Linked DNA regions of Macaca mulatta. The protein of the gene in region 2 interacts with the protein of the main gene of each other region in a biochemical or structural test. Links are inferred from orthologs where the notes say so. Each region holds a gene or a part of one and is shown on either strand. Other genes may lie near its edges.

Region 1 (4,659 bases), on a different chromosome or scaffold from region 2:
TCAGCTACTTCAGCCAAGGTAAGTGCATTTGCAGTTGATGCAGATCATAAGTTATGCAGGTAAGTCATTAAAATGGCATAATTATCTTTCACATTCATTTTTTCTTTGCTTGTTTGGTTACTAAAAAGGTGTATTAAAATTGTCCACTAAGAGTCTGGAGTTAGGATTTTCTATTTTTATCAGTTGTGTATCTGATACAACATTATTAAATGTATACAAAATTTGAACAGTTATATATTCCTGTGAATTACAATTTAATGTTTATGTATCATTCCTTTTTATCTCCAGCAAAGTGTTTATCCTTACCATAAACATTGTCTACAATCAAGACAGTCACAGCACCTGTTTGGTTTTTTTTCCCATCTTACTACTTTGAATGCTTCTGTATTTTTATGTTGTGTGTATTTTAAATAGGATGTTTCATTTTGATTGTAATGAAGTCTTATAGCCTTTGACTTTCAGTCTTTAAACTGCTTTCATTTAATCTAAGTTGTATGTAAATTTTCTATATTACTCTTACACTTAGTTTTTAGTGCTTTCTATATTTTATTATCTTTCCATTATTTTATTCTCACTGGTTTTAGTATTTTTGTTCTATTTTCCCTTTTATAATCTTGTTACTTTTATGTTGAAATCTTTTGTCTAAAGCCCCTTGTTGGGAAAGTCTAGAGACTTTGTATATCAAATACAAAGCACTGTGCCTCTGAGCCTAGGATTTGCTGTTACAAAGAATTATTGAGAAGGTGGCAAAACTGCGTAGGAACACAATTTCTGTTTTTATAGAGTGAGCTATTAATGCCATTGTAAGAATTACCAATATAGTGCTTTGTAAGTCCTCTTAAGATCTGCATCTGTTACATTTGGCCAGACCCACTTGAACAGTCCTTTTCATTAGATGCTAATTACTGGCTTCTGTGCAAGGGACAGAATGATTATTCACACAACTCACATCCACACAACAGCCAATCCTGTTAGGCTTTGACCTTCAGCTTTCGGCTCTGTATTTACTTTATTACATAAACATAAATATTGTGATGTATATTCTTTTATATATATTTTCAAATACATAGCTCTTATACATATATATTATATATATATCATTCTTAAATATATATTTCCAAATATAAATTATTTCATGTCAAGCTAAACAGGATAAAAACATGTAAACATATACACTTGGTTTTGGTCAAGTAAAACACAAAATCACAAGTTCATCACAGTTTAACAAGTGCACTTGAAGGGGAAGGAGGGAAAGAACAAACTGTAAACAGATGAGCAGCTGCAAGACCCTGCGAGGGTCCATTTGTTAAGGCTATTATAGCACAAAGCTACTAGTTCAATTAAAACTTCTCCTTTCACTCTGCCACATTTACTCTTGAGGGTCTTCAAAATAAGTGTGGAAATTCAGTAAACACTACACTAGAACTGAGTTAATCCTGTTGAAAACAGAGATGACAAAAAAAGCCATAAGCTGACATTAATATTAATTTCACCAAAACAGTAACTTTAAGGACTTATTTTTTTAAACACAGATAATCACCATAATCCTAGGAGGAAAGATATGCAGAATAGACAAGAAAACAGAAGCACTGCCTCAACAGCCCCTGAAAGCAATAAGAGTGTCAACACAGGGAAAACAGGCAATAGCAGACGACAGAACCTCAGCAGACTAGACCACATGCCACAGCACAATGCTACAGATTCAAATTGAAATATTCTTCCAGCTCATAATGAAGCAAGTCCCACTGGTCCTCAGAGAAGGGTAACTCATCTCTCAGTAAAAGAAACCGCTTAAACAACAGACTGGCCAGTCGAAGCACGACAAGCTCCTTCTTACGGCTTTTATAGAGCATGTCGCCCTCTCCCATTCGCACAGGCTCCACAAGTTGATGCCAGTATGCGCCGAATGACCCACCACCTGGCCCAGGAGGCTCATCTCCCCAGCCCTCAGGGTATTCATGCTTGTAAAAGCATGTGTCTCCAAATGGGCAGTTACCCCTGCCTTCCGCAAAATACCTGCAGGCCTTGTTGCTCATTGCCTCCTTGTATTGCTGAATAAGTTTCTGCTTCTCTTCCTCCTCCTCCACCCAGAACTCACTGGGAACGACCAAGTCGGAGGTGACCCTGCACTGCGGGCAAGACTTGATGATCCTGTTATCAAACTGTCTGGCACTTCTCCACCTGCGGATACACCTAATACAGAAGGTATGGTTGCAATTGGAAAGAATGCCAAAGCGGCGGTCATTGGGGTTGGCTTTCTCATAGACAACCTCCATGCAGATGCCACACACCTTGTCCATACCACGCTGCACAGCAAACGAGAGTTCCATATCTTTCTCGTGTGCTTCAATGCAGGCCCTTATATGGTCTTCCCTCTGGGCAGCATCCATGGGGTGCAAGGCCTGCAGCCCACACATGTCGCATATGTCTCCATGGAGGAACATACAGCTCTCCCCACGAAAGCAAACTCCCCTGGAAGCATAATAGCAAAACCGCAACCCCCTGCCCACAGCCATCTGCTTCCTCTCAGTCTCTGAGCTCTGTGGAGGAGCCTCGGGGGCAGATGCAACCCAGCGGCCCCGGTAGGGCTGCCCTGGAACAAACTCAATGGCATCCGCCCAGCTTTCTACACCTGCTCCTCCAGCAGCTCCACGGTCTGCATTGTCTCTCTCGGCTTCAAAGAAACCCCTTTCAGCAGCCGAGCCAATCACAGGCAAGGAAAGGGAGGATGCAGCCGGGGGGGCTTCCGCCACTTCCTGAGTCGGGGGCTCGATGTGCGCAGCCGTGCTAGGGCCTCCACCTGCAGAGGCCCCAGGCGGCGAAACGCTGCCCTCAGTGGCCATCTTCCGACCAGAAAGGTCGTGGGAATAGCGACAGTTCTCCCCCTCCTTGCACTGCCCATGTATATAATACCTGCAGATGATCTGCTTTGTCCAAATGCCGCTGCTTCGGCTTGGAAACGGATTGCGCCATGCTCCTCCTCCTGAGGCTGGTGCAGGCCTCAGGCCTCCTGTGCGGAGGTGGGCAGGGACTGGAGCTACAGGGAAGGGGGCCCAGCCCACAGGCGCATGTGGCAGGGCCGAATCTGGAGCAGCAGATTCCCTGGAGGGCTCACAGACGGGAAGGTCCGGCCCGGACACACCCTCCCCTGCTGCCTCAGCACCTGCCTGGGCCCCGGCTGCCTCCTGGGCTTCTGAGGGAGCTGCAGGCTCTTCCATGGCAGCTTCTTTACCCCGAAATGGTGCCAGAACGTCTCCGGTATTTTTTCTTTATGGGCTTGAGGCCCGGAGTCGCGGCCGCGCTCGGAGGCTTCTCTAGGGGAAGTGTGCATCTCTTTTTCTTCCCCCCCGGTTCTTGGCTGCCTGTGACTGTGTGTTCCTACCTACTTCCGGGCACAGGCAGCGCGGCGGACACTTCCTGTGGGGGCAACGTACGCGCCGCGCTTGGATTTTACCGCAATTTTCCAATCTGACATATTTTTTGTTCACACAGGCAGGGACCAACCCAGCCCCTTTTGTCTGCCTTCTGCCTCTGCTTCGCTGTGTTCCGGCAGCCCCTAATTCCCTCCTCACACCGTTTCCTCAGGAGAATGAGGTTTTACTTTAATCTCTTTTGGTTTCAGTCATGCACGTCTTCGTTGTATTTTCGTATCTGTCTGCTTTAAAAAAATTAGAATCCAATAGATTCTGAAACATTTCATACATGAATTAGATAAATCCTTTTTTGATTCACTCCATCTTATGTCTGCGTTTTTTTTTTTTTAATGCCCTGTCACTGCTGGAAGATTTTTTCGATTTGCTCTGTTGACAAAGCGTCGTTTCTTTTGGTCTTTGTTTTCTGGGATTTCTGAGGGCTTACGCAGGATACGCTTTTCACCAGCAAGGCATTAGCAGACAGCGCTTCTGATCCGAGGCTAAGTTAGCACCTTTCAGATGTCTTTCTTTATTGTGATTACTATGCTCGTTTTCCCACTGTGTAGAAGCCCCAGACTTCAATCATTCCTGATGCTGGCTGAATAAGGCACTGTCCCCTGCATGACCCAGGCTTTTATTTTCTCTACTGGTTTAATTCATGGCAGCCCTTTGTTTCTCTTGCTTTCTTTCAACCCCATCTGTGCTGTGTTGTGGCATACTATCCACAAAGGAATGGTCTTTAATTTCCATATATAAGCGTTTTGTCATTTTTGCAGATACGTGTAGTGGATTAATCATTTTTTTGTATTCCTACTTTGCTGAGAGTACGTATCATGACTGCATACTGAATTCTGTCATGTAGTTTTATATATTTTTTGAGATAATCTTGTTTTTCCCTTTATTCTCTTAATGTGATTATTTGCAGCTATGAGTTTCAAATATTTAACTGACCAATTTGTTTCTAATAAGAAGCCCTTCTGTGTCATGATATATCGTTTTATATATTATTGGATTTTTTTTTTTTCTGTAAGTTTCTTTGAGGAAATTTTGTTGCCTAAATCTGTAAAGTGGAAACATATCTGAATATTTATAATCACCCAAGTCAACAAATTAAATTATAATTAGGTAGGTAAAAGCAAAGAAAGCAGAATGAAGCAAATAATAAGGCCAAGAAAAGCAATGAAGAAAAACAAATATTAAATAAGGGAAATAAATTAAGTAAAATCCTTTAAACAGCTTATTGAAG
Region 2 (5,087 bases):
ATGAGCCACTATGTCTAGCCTAGATCTGATGATTTTGTAAGGAGAAACCCTTTTTTGTTTGGTTCTCATTTCTTTCTTTGCCTGCCGCCATCCATGTAAGGTGTGACTTGCTCCTCCTTGCCTTCTGCCACAATTGTGAGGCTTCCCCAGCCACGTGGAACTGTCCAATTAAACCCCTTTCTTTTGTAAATTGCCCAGTCTCGGCTATGTCTTTATCAGCAGCATGAAAACGGACTAATACAATGCATATCTGATGTTTAGCTCCCACTTATAAGTAAGAATATGTGGTATTTCATTTTCTGTTCCTGCATTAATTCACTTAGGATAATGGCCTCCAGCTGTATCTATGTTGCTGCAAAGGATATTATTTCATTCTTTTTTATGGCTGCATAGTATTCCACAGTGTATGCCCCATTTTCTTTATCCAATCCACCATTAATGAGCACCTAGGTTGACTCCATGTCTTTGCTATTGTGAATAGTACTGATGAACATGTGAGAACATATATCTTTTTGGTGGAATAATTTGTTTTCAGTTGCATATATAACCAGTAATGGGATTGCTGGGTCAAATGGTAGTTTTGTTGTAAGTTCTTTGAGAAATCTCCAAACTGTTTTCCACGATGGCTGAACTAATTTACATTCCCACTAACAGCATATAAATGTTACCTTTTCTCCTCAGCGTCACCAACATCTGTTGATGTTTTCACTTTTTTTTTTTTTCCTTTTTGAGACAGAGTCTTACTCTGTCGCCCAGGCTGGAGAGCAGTGACTCCAACTCAGCTCACTGCAACCTCCGCCTCCCGGGATTAAGCGGTTCTCCTGCCTCAGTCTCCTGAGTAGCTGGGATTACAGGCGCCCACCACCATGCCCAGGTAATTTTTGTATTTTTAGTAGAGATGGGATTTCACCATGTTGGCCAGTCTGGTCTCGAACTCCCAACCTCAGGTAATCTGCCCGCCTCAGCCTCCCAAAGCCCTAGGATTACAGGCGTGAGCCACTGTGCCCGGCCAAGAAGCCAAGTTTTAATGGGTACACAAGTGCCCAGGAATTGGAGAGTGGGGAGTGTGCGTTGACTATTAGTCAGAGACTGTCAATGGAAGGGAAGGAGTCAACGATGGGAGTGAGAGCTCTGAACTCGGTGTTCGAAGCGGGTAATTTATGGGAGGGGCATACCTATGAGCAGACGATGCACTCAGACACGGAAGATCTGTGCATTGGACAGAAGAGACACCTTTTTCCTCTGCAGTAAGAACCAAGGAGGTAAGTAAGGGGTCTGATAGATATGAGTTTGTGCATGTGTGCTGGGTGAGTAATTGAGATAATTCATATATTTGAGAAAAGACAGTGAAATATTTAAAGGTAAATATAATAAAACCAGCTGTGGCACCTATTGGATAAGGAATTACTAACTGATGATTTAGAAATTCCTTTATGTGCGTTAGGAGCTCATTTGTTATCCCCATTTTACAGATGCGCAGCCCCAGGTTCAGTAACTTGCTCTAAATGAGACTGTAGAGACTAACTCCAGCACCCGGCAGCTCTCACCTTAAGCTGCCTGGCTAAGGTCAGCAGCAAGTAACCTGGCAGCGTCTGGGGGCCTGCGGCCGAGGACAGGGCTGGAACTACACTTCCCAGTATGCCAGGCGGGGCGGGGCGCGGCGGGGAGGGCGCAGGCTCCTTCCCAGAAGCAAAAGCGGAAACAAAAGAGTCTCGCCGGCCTCCCCGCCCGCACACTCGCGCACACTCGCGCTCGGGCGCAGACGGAGCAGGGACCGGCGCCCGGAGCGAGCCAGGGAGCGGCGAACCGGGGACCCACCGCGCGGAGCCAGCTGAGCTGCCAGCGAGCCCAACTCGCGAAGACTCACGCCCCCGAGCCCCGCAGCCGACCCCTGCCGGCCGGTGTCCCCACCGCGATCCCTGATCCATGGCGCTGAAGCGGATTCAGAAAGTGAGTGCCGGGGCCGGGCCTGGGGCTGCGGGGCAGCAGGGCAGCGGCGCCTGCCCACGCTGACTCGGCCAGTGGTCCCGAGAGATATGCAGGGAAAGCACGGGATGGAAGGGTGGGCCGGGGTGCGGGCAGGGAGCTGGAGGCTCGGGCCCGGCCAGCGGGCACCGGACAGGTTAGGTGGGAGCGGGGGCAGATCCCAGGCGGCCGGGGGAGCTTGAAGGCTGGGGGCCCGTGGCGCGCTCGCGCCGGGGCCGCTCCCGGAGCCCCAGGGTAGAGAGCCTCCTCCGCGTCCAGACCGCCCCGAAATCTGTGCTTCACGGTCACGGCTGGGTTTTGCCCTCCATGAGGCTAGTTTTGACCCCTGTCATGCTGTGTTTTCTCCAGGCTGTTTCTTAAGCCTGTCTCTTTTATGTTCTTGCTTACCCGGGCTCCCCGGGAGGGCACGGAAGGTGGGGTGGGCCTGCAGCCTTTCTCCGCGGAGCTGTCGGGTTGGTTCTTTCTCCTCTGCGGTTGGCTCTTGCTCAGTTGCCCGAATGGGCTGGAAAGCCCATTTGCGGCCAAGAAGCCAAGAGAAGGCTCCTGCCCCTTCTATTTTGGTGCCTCTGCTGCTGCCACTTCAGGTCACATAGCTGTAGCGAAAACATAGTTGCTGATACACAACAAGATGACCTCCTGGCTGTGATTCACGGTGAGTCAAGCCAAACAGGTTTTTTTTGCCCCTCATGGTAAACTTAGATGTAAAGTTCGAGACACAACATAAACTGTCGCAAATAGATTGTTTTGATGCTTTGACACATGGGTATAAAATGAGGAAGAAATATGTATCTTCATCCAACAACTGTTCACCCATCTCAACCCTGTGTGTGGAATTGTCTTTTTTTCACAGTATTTATTGCCACCATTTCAGAAGCGAACATCCTTCAGAATTGATATTCGGGCATTTCTTTCTGTTCATTTTTATTTCTTGTTGGTCTGTGTACTGACCCAAGTTTTAGGTTTTACAGTTACAGTTCACACTGGGAACATTGAGAATGTGTTTGTTAAATAGGGAGTGCTTTTCACTAAGTTAAGCAACAATGGTCAGTGTATTTTGTAGTTGTTTCAGAAGAAATTAATGCCCACATTTTTATCTACTTTTTTGACCAGTAGTCCATTATAGCAATAGTAAATGTTAGAGCAGTGATAGTGACGTACACATTGTATTCTGACTAGCCACTAGTGGCATCTTTAGGTACAGAGGACAGCAACTTTTAGAGCCTGCCAGTTTTTTATTTTCAAATTCTAAATCTGTTGATCACCTGTTATTTTTTGTCCCATTTAAAGGTCGTCTCATTGTAAAACATACAGTTAACAATCAGCATCAGCATTTATTAAGTTATAATGTTTTCTTGTTTGAAGATAGTTCAGTTACACGTTGTTTTATATAAATATCCTAATTTTGAAGCCTCAGTCGGCCTCTTTACCATAACTTGCATACTTATTAATGACGACGTAATATTGGTTCACATTTGGATCAGAAAATGCACATCTTCCAAGGAAGTTTTCAAATTCTATTTCCTTCTTTCCTAGTTGTGAGAATTTTTCACATGATTTTGCACATACAAGAGCTTTTTAAATTATCACTGTGTTTTTTTAAGAGATGGGGATCTCAGTATGTTGCCCATGCTGGTCTTGAACTCCTGTCCTCCAGAGAGTCTGGGATTACAGGCACAAGTCACCATACCCAACTATAACAATAGCGTTTAAATGCTGTGCAATTTGTCCACAGTAAGTGGATATTCAAAGAAATATGAACATTGTTTGTAAATACCATACTTGGCAGTTCTCGTCAATCACCATGCTGAACTGGTGTATTTGATTTGTATTTATAATGTGTGTGTCCAAATCTTTTCTTTTTAGTATTTATTGGTTATTAGTTTATAGAGTTGTTCAGAAAAAAAAAATTACTTACATGGAATTGATATCAAACATGTGACAAATCGATATTTTGGAGAAGAAATTGGGATCATATACCATCACATCTCTGTGCGTTCATCTTTGGCTTCCCTTTCTGATATCAGGCAAGTTAACTTACACAAGTCTTTCCATTAATCACACATTCAGACCGTTTCCTCAAACCTTAGGGGTGATTATTTTGATTGATTCCCTATTTTTCCTCCTCCTTTATCTACCTCCTTGATTAGAAGCCAATTCTAGGTCAGTTGTGCCGCCTGCCATATGAACAGTTATACCATCTTCTTCTTTGATGTCATCAGTATAGACATTCTTATTTGAATCTTTCATGTTCCAACAAATGAAGATGTATACTAACTTTTGGCCTTTCTTCCTAAGCTCCTATTGAAGTGTTACTATAGTTTTCCTGTACCTAAAGTTGCAGACTGTAGAGCTGTGTGGAACCTCAGATAAGTCTGCCGTAGTGTACTAGAGGGTACCAGCACGGGAACAGCTTCTAGGGTAGTGTCTTAGAATCACCTGAGGGACGTTTTCAGACTGTCGTCACTTCTATAAATGGAGAGGTGTTGAATCCCTCAGATGGGTTGGGGTGGAAAGAAGACTGAGAACCACTGATGTTCTGGCCTGTCCTTATTCAAGGAGGGATCCAGAGGCCTGGAATAGAGGAGTGCATTGTCCTAGGATAATCTTTTTTTGTTTGTTTGTTTGAGATGGAGTCTCGCTTTGTTTCCCAGACTGGAGTGCAGTGGCGTGCTCTCGGCTCACTGCAACCTCTGCCTCCTGGGTTCAAGCAATTCTCCTGCCTCAGCCTCCTGAGTAGCTGGGACTATACAGGCACACGCTGCCAGGCCTGGCTAATTTTTTGTATTTTAGTAGAGATGGGGTTTCACTGTGTTGCCCAGGCTGGTCTCGAACTCCTGAGCTTAGGCAGTCCACCTGCCTCGGCCTCCCAAGGTGCTAGGATTACAGGTGTGAGCCGTCACACCCGGCCAATAATCTCTTAATTGGCTTGGCATATTTGAGAACGTTAAGAAGTTCATGATTTCACATTTCTTCACTATGAAAAAGAATAAAGATGATTGGATTAAAACTGTATGTGAAGACAGAGCATGGAGATATCAATGCTTAAAATACATTTTTATACTAGAATATACTAAATGTACTAGAATATACTAAATGATTTA
Region 3 (4,783 bases), about 13 Mb from region 2:
GTGTGTGTGTGTGTGTGTGTGTGTGTGTGGTGGGGGGGTGCTGTTTCTCAAAAGCATATTTCAAAAATTGGAGGCCAAGTAAACTTCTGGTCACATTTTTGAGGGTTTGTTTTTTCCCAGCAATGAACGCTCTAGTTCAAATATACTTCGTAAATTTTGAACAGATAATAAAAAGTTGATTGTAAAACTCTACATTTAAAAAGAGCTTTAAAAACACATTTTCATTTTTTAAAAAATCAAACATCTTGCAGCAGAAATTAGACACAATCAAGGGAAAACTACCAGCGTCCTACCAGTCACAACCCTAGAGAAAATGCCACAGGTCGTCCAAAAAACGCATTCATTTGAGCCAACAGCTCTTTCCTCCCGCCAAAGCTATCCCTCGAACGTCAGAAGCTGACCCAAGGAGTGATTGATGATTTCTCCTTTTTGATTCCCCCTCACCCCCGCCACTCCCAATCCACCTGCTTTAAGGTGTCAACGCGACTACAAACGGTTAACAGTGACCAGCAGCAGAGAGAAACAAACGTCCCTGACAACCCACAGCTGAGTAAGCAAGAGCTGTTTATTCACCAACGTGTTCCATTTGGAGACTGTCGGCGAGCCCTGGAAAGCCCAAGCACATTAAGGTTCCTGGAGAGGGAGAGAATCATCTTTCCTTCCCCCCACTCCCCAGCCCCAAACACACACTGAGAGACTCGGGTGGAAGCCGTCTGGTCCAGGCAGTCCCGACTTGCCCGCCCCCTCAAGAAAAACCTCACGCACCAAAGCAGCCGACCCCTTGCGGGGGTGGTGTAATTCCCCCAAAATGGGCTCTGCCGCAGGAGAGGCTGGCTGCAGCGCCGGGGGCTTCGGAAGGAGTTACTGCCACCCCCAATGCCGCCACTGCCCGCCCTGACGCCACGGCCGGGGCTGGGGACCCTGATGAGAAATGGCCCTTCAGCCCCCTCCCCTCACCTGGCTCGGTCCCACCTGAGGGCTAGAGCGGAGGCAAAAAGAAACAGGCAGGGAGGGCTGACCTTGTTGCTACTGACAGTGGAGCGGCGCATCCTGCTGCTTCCTGGAAAGCGGCCCGAAAGACATTTTTTGCCCCTGGAGGAAGGAAACGGGAGGGCGCCGGCCGGACGGCGGCGGGCGCGGAGGCGTTGGTCCGGGCAGGCTGTGCAGCCTCTAAGCAGGGACGGTCCGAGGACTACATCTCCCAGGCTGCTTTGGGCCGCCCTGCGTCGTAACCCCGGCGCGCACGGAGGCGGTGACTCTTACCTCACAAAGGTAGCTCCTCCGCCGGCAGCAACTCGGCGCCCGCGGTCCATGGACCGGAACCTCGGGCCGACGGACAGGAACCCGGGCCGCGATCGCCGCCTCCCCGCCTCAGGCTCCTCCTCCTCGTTCTCCGCCGCCTCCACCGGACGCCCGCAGGCCCCGCACCGCCGCCGCCCGGCTAGCGCAGCTGCCCCGGGAAGCTGGGTGACTGGTTCGCGGCTGCCGCCGGACTGCGGCCTACTCCGCTGTCTCTCAGTGCTATTGTCCCTGGGCCTGGCCTTGAGCGGGTCCACTGGGGAGGGCCGAGTGCGCCGGCTCCGCGGAAGATGCCGGACCAAGCCTTACAGCAGATGCTGGACAGGTACGGGCAGCTGTTGGGGGGGGACCGGGAGCCGCCGACCCTCGCTCTGGCCCTGCCCGCGCCCGCCCTCGAGGCTCTTGGTGAGCAGAACTCGGCGTGCCGGGAGGAGTTCCACGGCCGGGGGGCCGTGAGAGGGGCAGAAAGTTTGGAGTCTAGACTTGGGGAGGACAGAACGAGCGGCCTGGGTCGTAGACTTTGGGTGAAACTTAGCTAAGGAGTGGCGTCTGGTTTCTTTGGAACCCCGTTTTGACGTGAGAGGGACCCATGTTAATCCACAAAATTAGTTTTCCTTACCCTCCTCGCCTCCCCCTTCCTCCCTCCCCAACTTGTAAAGTGTCAGCGATGTCACTGGCAAGAAGAACCGGGTTATCTTTCAGGAGAATGACCCCCTTACAATTTTAAGTCTCTGTCTGAGAACCAATGATAAACATTCTTTTAGAAAGCCTGATAGGCTGATTTCGTTCTCTCCCCTTTCCCTGAGCCCGCACCACCCTCCCCCCGCCCCATCCCGTCCCCACCTCCGAACTGTAAGGTCAGAGTATCCGCAAGGGAGCTTTAACGGTCAGACCAAAGTAGAGGTTATGGAAAACAGCCAAATGAGTCCAATGCTGAACACTTAGTGTACTTGGCGATCGTTGGGTTCATTGAAAACGTTTCAGCTCGTACAGGAGTCCAGTTGCCCATTCTTGGGGGGCCCCAGTCTGTAAAACTCTTTGTGAAGTCGGGTGCACCGCCCTCTGCTGTTGAAATTCTAGTCCGTGGGTTCTACCATGAGTTTTGGGAGACTCTAGATCCACATTTCCCCCCAGCTGAGTCTTACTTTCTGGCATAGCAAGTTGTACAAGCTAATTCATAATGTTTGTGGTTGCTTACAATTCTCAGCAGACATCACTTGCCACCCATTTCAGCAGGTGGTACCAACTCTTTGTACTCAGTAAAATTCCAACTGTAAGGTGTTAAATGAAGGCCCTCCCTTGAGTTTATACCCAGTTAAATGCTGTTTGGGTCTGCCACACCCAGAACACAAGTGACCCAAGTGTACACATCCTTCCAGAGTGACAGACATTTTCTTGGAGCTTAGAATTTTGAGCCATCTCAGTTGATAGAAATTATGTCACTAATTTTTTTCAGTTGAGGTAACTGGTGATTCATCCAGCCCTTGTTTCAGGTCAACATTCTGACAATTGTATTGACCACCCTTTTATGTATGTGTGTGGTTTATAAGCTCTTGGAAGGCAGAAACTTACTCACTATTTATCTTGAATCCCAGAACAGAGCCTGGTACTCAGTAGGTAATCAGTAAGTATTTGCTGTATGAACTGACGCACAAAGTTATTTGTCAGTTTCCCCAGTTGTCTAGGGGTCTGATAATTTACCAGGTTTTCCTTTCATTGTAAATTGGCAAATTAAAATATGCCCAGAGGAGACCACCTGCCACTGCCAGTTCTGTTCTGTTGAAACCCTGTTTTGATGCAGGGTATTTTGTAATTAATTTTTTCCTCTGAGGGCCTCCTTTCATTTTTACATAGTGACTTTTTTTCTTCTTTTTTTGAGACAGGGTCTCTGTTGCCCAGACTGGAATGCAGTGGCAGTGGCAGTGGTCTGATCTCAGCTCACTGCAACCCCTGCCTCCCGGGCTCAGGTGATCCTCCTACCTCAGCCTCCCTAGTAGCTGGGACCACAGCACATACCACCATACCCAGCTAATTTTTTGTATTTTTATAGAGCCGGAGTTTTGCCATGTAGCCCCTGCTGGTCTCAAACTCCTGGGCTCAAGTGATCCAAGTGATCCTCCCGCCTAGCCTCCCAAAGTGCTGTGTCGTCAAGCATGAGCTATCGCGCCCGGCCTAGAAAAGTTCTTATGTCCAAAAGCTGACCTGGCTTTTCATATGCTCTTTGGAGATTTCCATAAAAGTAAGAAGCCAAAGAATGAGGCTGGGCACAGTGGCTTACCCCTGCAATCCCAGCACTTTGGGAAGCCAAGGCGGGCAGATTACTTGAGGTCAGGCGTTCGAGACCAGCCTAGCCAACATGGTGAAAACCCTGTCTCTACGGGAAAAAAAAAAAAAAATTAGGCAGGCATGGTGGCATGGGCCTGTAGTTCCAACAGGAGGCTGAGGCATGAGAATTGCTTGAACCTGGGAGACGGAGGTTGCAGTGAGCCGAGATTGCACCATTGCACTCCAGCCTGGGTGACAGAGCAAAACTCCATCTCAAAAAAAAAAAAGCTAGTGAGGCATTTAAACCTCAACAGAAATGTGAAGATTCTGGCTGCCATTTACTGAAATAGGTGACTATGACACTGGCTTACTTTCATCTTTGTACTCTTTTGACATATCTTAAAGTAGATTTTTAACATGACTTTCAAAGACCTTTATTGTCTAGATTAGTAGTTGGCAACCTGTTTCCATGTTAGAATTACCTGGGGAACATTTCAAAATATGCATGGATGCTGGATCCTGTCTAAGACCAGTAAGATCAAAAATTTCTGTAGGGTAGAGCTTGGGCATCTATATTTTAAAACTTTTTAAATGTTTCAGATATGGCTGAAACCTACTGCCCTAAGTCCTAAGGCAGTGATATCTTTCAAGATAAGAGATAATAAGGCATAGTGATTAAAGCTTGGGCTCAGAGATAGAAAGCATGAAATTCAAATTTTGCCACTTACTAGCTATGTGACTTTGAATTTAGATTCTGACACTATGTATATGATCATTTATAAAATGGGAACCCTACTTCACAGGGCTACAGCAAATGAAAACATACATCTCTGTAAAACAACAAAACACTCTGTGTTAGCCCAATAGAAGGCACTTAAGACTAATGTAAACCCGTTTGGCCGTTTTTCCCCCATCTACTTTATGTTTAAAGTTTTCTTCATCTGGGCTGGCCCTACTGCAAGTTGAACACAAAGATACTCAACATGGTTCACTTGAGGAATACCAACAGGGCCAAAAGACTAAAATATGTCAGCCTATTAGGACCCAGAATTCTTTTCATGAATTTGACTTCTCCTCAACCTGGTTTTTGGTGGCAATTTTTGAGGGACAGAATTTAGCTCAGATAACTGTTCGTTTGTTTGTTTCTTGAATGCAGGTTTTATCTTTGTGAAGACTAGGGAAATGTGTGTTACATATTGTTCTGTTGCTTTTAGGTTAA
Region 4 (4,551 bases), on a different chromosome or scaffold from region 2:
TTACAGGCACGCACCACGACGCCCGGCTGATTTTTTGTATTTTCAATAGAGATGGGGTTTCACCATATTGGCCAGGCTGGTCTCGAACTCCTGACCTCAGGTGATCCACTCACCTTGGCCTCCCAAAGTGCTGGAATTACAGGCGTGAGCCACCACACCCAGCCAAGTCATATTTTATTTGTATAAAAATTACAAATAGGACCATATATGTAAATACTTAACACCATTATGTACATTAACCTGTTTCTTAGTTTGGCATTTGTGTAACAGTGCTCCATGTCCCATATTTTCACCTTATAAAATACAGAAGCCAGGGATTTTCTACTTTATTACACTAAAAAGTTCTTAAACTCACAAAAACAATATACTATATTTTCATAAAGAGAAACAGGGAAAAAGAATACCAATTCTCCTTATCTTGAAATCCTTCCACCTAATGATGGAAAAAGGTGTCTCCTCTTTTACCGATCTCTTACCAGGGGTGCCTAAAAGGTTATGGTCTCTCATAAGCCGATAATCTTCATCATTGAGTTCATTAATAAACTGATAATAGGCCTCTTCTCTGTGGAGACGCTCTTGCTGCCATCTTCTCTCATTTTCATGATGATTATGGTCTTGAGATAAGCTTTCTTCACTGCCACCATCTGATCTAGATGTAGACTGATTCATCCTGAGATTCCTGGCTTTCTGTTCAAACAATATAAACAAAATTCAAGGTGTTAAGTCATGGACCACATTTAGCTTTGTATTTATAACTTACAGTTTTTAATTTTTAAATGTTGTCCCCTACCCAAATACTGTATTTGCCAAGTCTTGCAGTGAGAACCTTACATATAAAATGAAAAACAACTTCTAGGAAATACAACACAATTGGAGCTACTTCTTTGCCTAAAGCCATTAAGTCAGACTGGATTTGGGTTTACCACACAATGCTCATGCCTGAATACCATAGTGATTATCTCATTTTTGACCCGGCTAATGATCTGGAAAAGTTGATCCAGAAGTCCTCATTTATGTTTCAGTATCTGGGTACTTCACATTAATTACAAATTTTAGGCTTGAATTATGCACATTCTTCACTTAATGAGCAAAGGGGTATTGGGATGATATAATTTACATTTATTTTCAGCAAGGTATTCTTTCCAAAATAAGGCTCATGAATGTAATATTATCCCCCACTGCACTTTGTTGAGGTAAAAATCATTTAGCCTAATTAATATCTACTGAACAGACTGGGAGGTGATCTCTCGTTAAAGCCTACCAGGAAGACTTTGAAACCCAACAGGAAACAAGACATCATGTATGGCTCAAGGATTGTGAAAGTGCATCAGAGCACTTTGTATCTCCCCATAACAAGCCTCATCCTTAAGCCTGGAATGGTTAGTCCCAGGAGTTTCAGAGTGCCAGTGAAACTTCCTAACTTTGCCTAAGAAAACACTGTTTTTGAATTATATTTAAATGTCACTCCTGAGAAGCTCGCTTTTAAACGATAAGGAAATCAAGGGAGAAAGATGTTTGTTTCATAAATATTTTAAAATTTCTTAAACATATCTATTTAGTAAGTCACACTAAAGCAATGGTTCTCAAACTCACTTAAGGACATTTTTAAAAATCCAGATGCCCAAATCTCATCCCCAATCCTTGATTAGAGTTTTCCAGGGTAGGACCAGGTCTGCTGTTAAGAGCTAATTTGGGTGTTCTACAGATGAAATAAACTATTCCTCAACAACCTCTGGCATGTCACTAAAGGGTATGAGTGATACAGCACCTGATTCAGTAGAGGCTGGAGGCTCAAATGGCTAGGCTACCAGTGAAGCAACTGTGCAACTCCGCCTCTCGAAATACACCAGGTGTTTAATAAGCAAGCTGCTTTAAATATAAGGTGAAATTAGCCTAGAAGTCTAAAACACTGTAGGAGTAGGCAACTATTCAATTTCACCTGTAACACTAAATTACAAATTCAAGGATTTTTTTCACTGTGGTTATTTTGTCATTTTGAACAAATGACCTAGTAACATTATCCACTCAAATACGAATTAACACTACTAAAAACTCAAGATTTCTATCTTCAGATTAGGACCGTAATTAGCAAAGAGCATATTTCGTAGGTACAGCAATAATAGGATTTTTGTAATAAATAACTTTACAGAAACCTATCATAAAATCAAGCTACCCTAATATTATTTAAAACGTAACAGCTTCTCCTTAAAGGTAATTTTCTTATACAATTAATCACCATGAAAACAAAGCGAATACCTTATTTTCCTTTCGACATGCTTTTACCATATGCCATGGTATCCATCCTTCAATTGTTTGTACCTTTTTTGAGAGTTGCCCATCTGAAGCAATAAAAGAGAGGTGAATAATTCAATAAACTGTCTCTTTGAAGGCCAGGAACGGGTGGGAGTCTCCCCACTCTGCTGCAAAGCCAAAGCAAATTCTCCAGTGGATTTTGTTAGACACATCTAGAAAATTAGATCCCCATACAATTAGGTCATGAACACCTCCCGCAAGGCCCCTACCTCCCGCAACAAACTTAGGCCTTTCGTCCTACACTGTCACTGCTCCTGGGTTTACGCCTCCTCTCTCAAAGGCCTTCCTTCCTATCCCGTTCCCATTCGGATGTTACCAGGGTTAGGCGTCTCTGGCTTACTTCTAAACCTTGACTTTCTTGCCACCCCCGCCCTCCGTCCCGCTACTGGTTTCTTTCCTGGCCGTTGCGACGGAAGCTCGCGCCGGGGGACGATCCCCAGTATGATAAACAGAGTGGGCTCAAGGGGCCCAACCAACCTCTTCCCAACCGAGCCTCAAGTAACGCTTCCCTTAGCGACCTAGATTCCCACAGGGAAGCAGGTGATAGACGGTGCATCCCAACCAATCTCCAGCCAGCGGAGCGCATTAAGAGGGCAGTTAACCAATCGGAGAAGAGATGGGTGGCTCGAAGGATGGCCTGCTTTCCCCGGCGTCTCCAGGAAGTAGTGGTGGGACCCAGATCTTTCCCTCGAACCCACCTGTCCTCCAAGTCCCGGGCCTTCCGCCTCCTTCCCGGAAAAAGTGTGCCGCGGACGGCGGTTCTCTCGGGTGCTGGAGGCTGTGGCTAGGAGGCGGGATAGGCTTGCCGCCGCGCCTCCGGAGCCCGCTGTTCCCTCGAATTGGCCACTGAGGAGAGAAGCCGGAAGCCCGTGCTGCAGCGTGGGGTCGTCCAGCTGGGGAGGATGCTCCGCGGGCGGAACGGCAGGCCCCAGCCCTTCTTTCCAGACAGCCAGGCCGCCCACTCGGCGAAGGGGAGTCGCTCCGCAGCTCGCACCGGAGCTCGCCCGTGCGACTGAAAATTGCGTCCGTCGGGAGCTAGGGTGCCTGCGTCCCGCGTTCCGCCCTCTCCGCGCCGCCCTTACAGTGCCTCCTCCTCGAGGCCAAAAACCGGCCGCTCAGCGCTGGTGGCAGCCGCGTAGTCGCAGAGACACAGCTTGCTTTCCAGGCTTGGGAAGTCCCAGCACTTAACTCTACGCGTCCGTGTTGCTTGTTTGCCAGCCAGACTACAAAGTGCACCCAAAGGTGTATTCGTCCCTTTACTTCCGGGTGTAACGTACTACCCAGCCAGGCCCTTTCCCTTGCTGTTCGTTGGAACCTGGAAATTACAAACCCTAATACATTCTGAAGTCTGTCTGCCTATCTCTATTTGAGAAAAGGTCTCGCCCTGTCGCCCAGGCTGGAGTGCAGTGGAGCGATCGTAGCTCACTGCAGCCTCCAGCGTTCCGCCCTCCTCATCCCAGTAGCTGGAACTACAGGCGCTTGCCACTAATTTCACATTTTTTTCTTTTGTAGAGACAAGGGTCTCGCTATGTTGCCCAGGCTGATTTCGTACTCGGCCTCAAGCAATCCTCCCACCTCAGCAAAATGGGATTACAGGCATGAGGCACTGCACCCCACTACATTTTGTGTTTTTTCACCTTCTCGCTAGGAAAGCAGTTTGAAACTCCCAACATTCCTCTCTCTGATTTTATTTCTGAGATGTGAGGCTTACTAAACTTGCCTCACCATTAGTTAATATGCTGAGTAGGTCTCCGTCTAACCTGGTATAGGCCCCCTTCCTCACATCCCCGCTATCCAGATGACTTCATCACTGGAGAGTGCTCACAATGCCGTTACTTGTCATTCTCCCGTTTGTTATTTCATTTCTGCATTAATTTTTGAGGAACTACCATATTCCCATTATTATGCTGGGCAGTCCTTAGCATCAGTGAGCTACCAGTGTAGTAAGGATCTATGGACAAGTTTTTAAAATAAGCATAGGGATATGGATACTAAAATGGAAATATATAAAACAGCCTAGAAAGTCCTTCCAGGTCTCTCCGCTGCTTACATTGACAGATTGATGTCTTGGCACTCTGAAACTGCTGGAAGTTCCGCCACAAGATACGGGAACTCCTACGCAACCCCCAACTCCACTTTTACCTAATTCTCTCTGTCTCCCAAAACTCAGCTCAGTTCTCATCTTTAAGGAATTTTTCCTGATACCTCTGAGGTAACACCCTTATCTCACCCTCAAGC

What was found.
Region 1: the proteins of UBE2D1 (region 2) and MKRN3 form a complex in vitro, tested with the Homo sapiens proteins (2 studies listed by BioGRID). The link is inferred for Macaca mulatta from reciprocal best matches to the Homo sapiens genes UBE2D1 and MKRN3.
Region 3: the proteins of UBE2D1 (region 2) and MARCHF5 form a complex in vitro, tested with the Homo sapiens proteins (4 studies listed by BioGRID). The link is inferred for Macaca mulatta from reciprocal best matches to the Homo sapiens genes UBE2D1 and MARCHF5.
Region 4: the proteins of UBE2D1 (region 2) and RNF6 form a complex in vitro, tested with the Homo sapiens proteins (2 studies listed by BioGRID). The link is inferred for Macaca mulatta from reciprocal best matches to the Homo sapiens genes UBE2D1 and RNF6.

What each region holds. Positions count from the first base shown.
Region 1 is NC_133412.1:6,385,412-6,390,070, forward strand, and holds the start of MKRN3 (E3 ubiquitin-protein ligase makorin-3), read right to left. Parts: upstream 3,328-4,659; 5' UTR 3,219-3,327; coding exon 1,695-3,218; 3' UTR 1-1,694. UniProt on the Homo sapiens protein: E3 ubiquitin ligase catalyzing the covalent attachment of ubiquitin moieties onto substrate proteins.
Region 2 is NC_133414.1:91,527,219-91,532,305, reverse strand, and holds the start of UBE2D1 (ubiquitin-conjugating enzyme E2 D1), read left to right. Parts: upstream 1-1,723; 5' UTR 1,724-1,926; coding exon 1,927-1,950; intron 1,951-5,087.
Region 3 is NC_133414.1:104,261,911-104,266,693, forward strand, and holds the start of MARCHF5 (E3 ubiquitin-protein ligase MARCHF5), read left to right. Parts: upstream 1-1,456; 5' UTR 1,457-1,589; coding exon 1,590-1,624; intron 1,625-4,783. UniProt on the Homo sapiens protein: Mitochondrial E3 ubiquitin-protein ligase that plays a crucial role in the control of mitochondrial morphology by acting as a positive regulator of mitochondrial fission and as an important regulator of immune response.
Region 4 is NC_133422.1:6,335,932-6,340,482, forward strand, and holds the start of RNF6 (E3 ubiquitin-protein ligase RNF6), read right to left. Parts: upstream 3,328-4,551; 5' UTR 2,900-3,327; coding exon 2,791-2,899; exon of another isoform or gene 2,654-2,790; intron 2,340-2,653; coding exon 2,257-2,339; intron 688-2,256; coding exon 477-687; intron 1-476. UniProt on the Homo sapiens protein: E3 ubiquitin-protein ligase mediating 'Lys-48'-linked polyubiquitination of LIMK1 and its subsequent targeting to the proteasome for degradation. Negatively regulates axonal outgrowth through regulation of the LIMK1 turnover.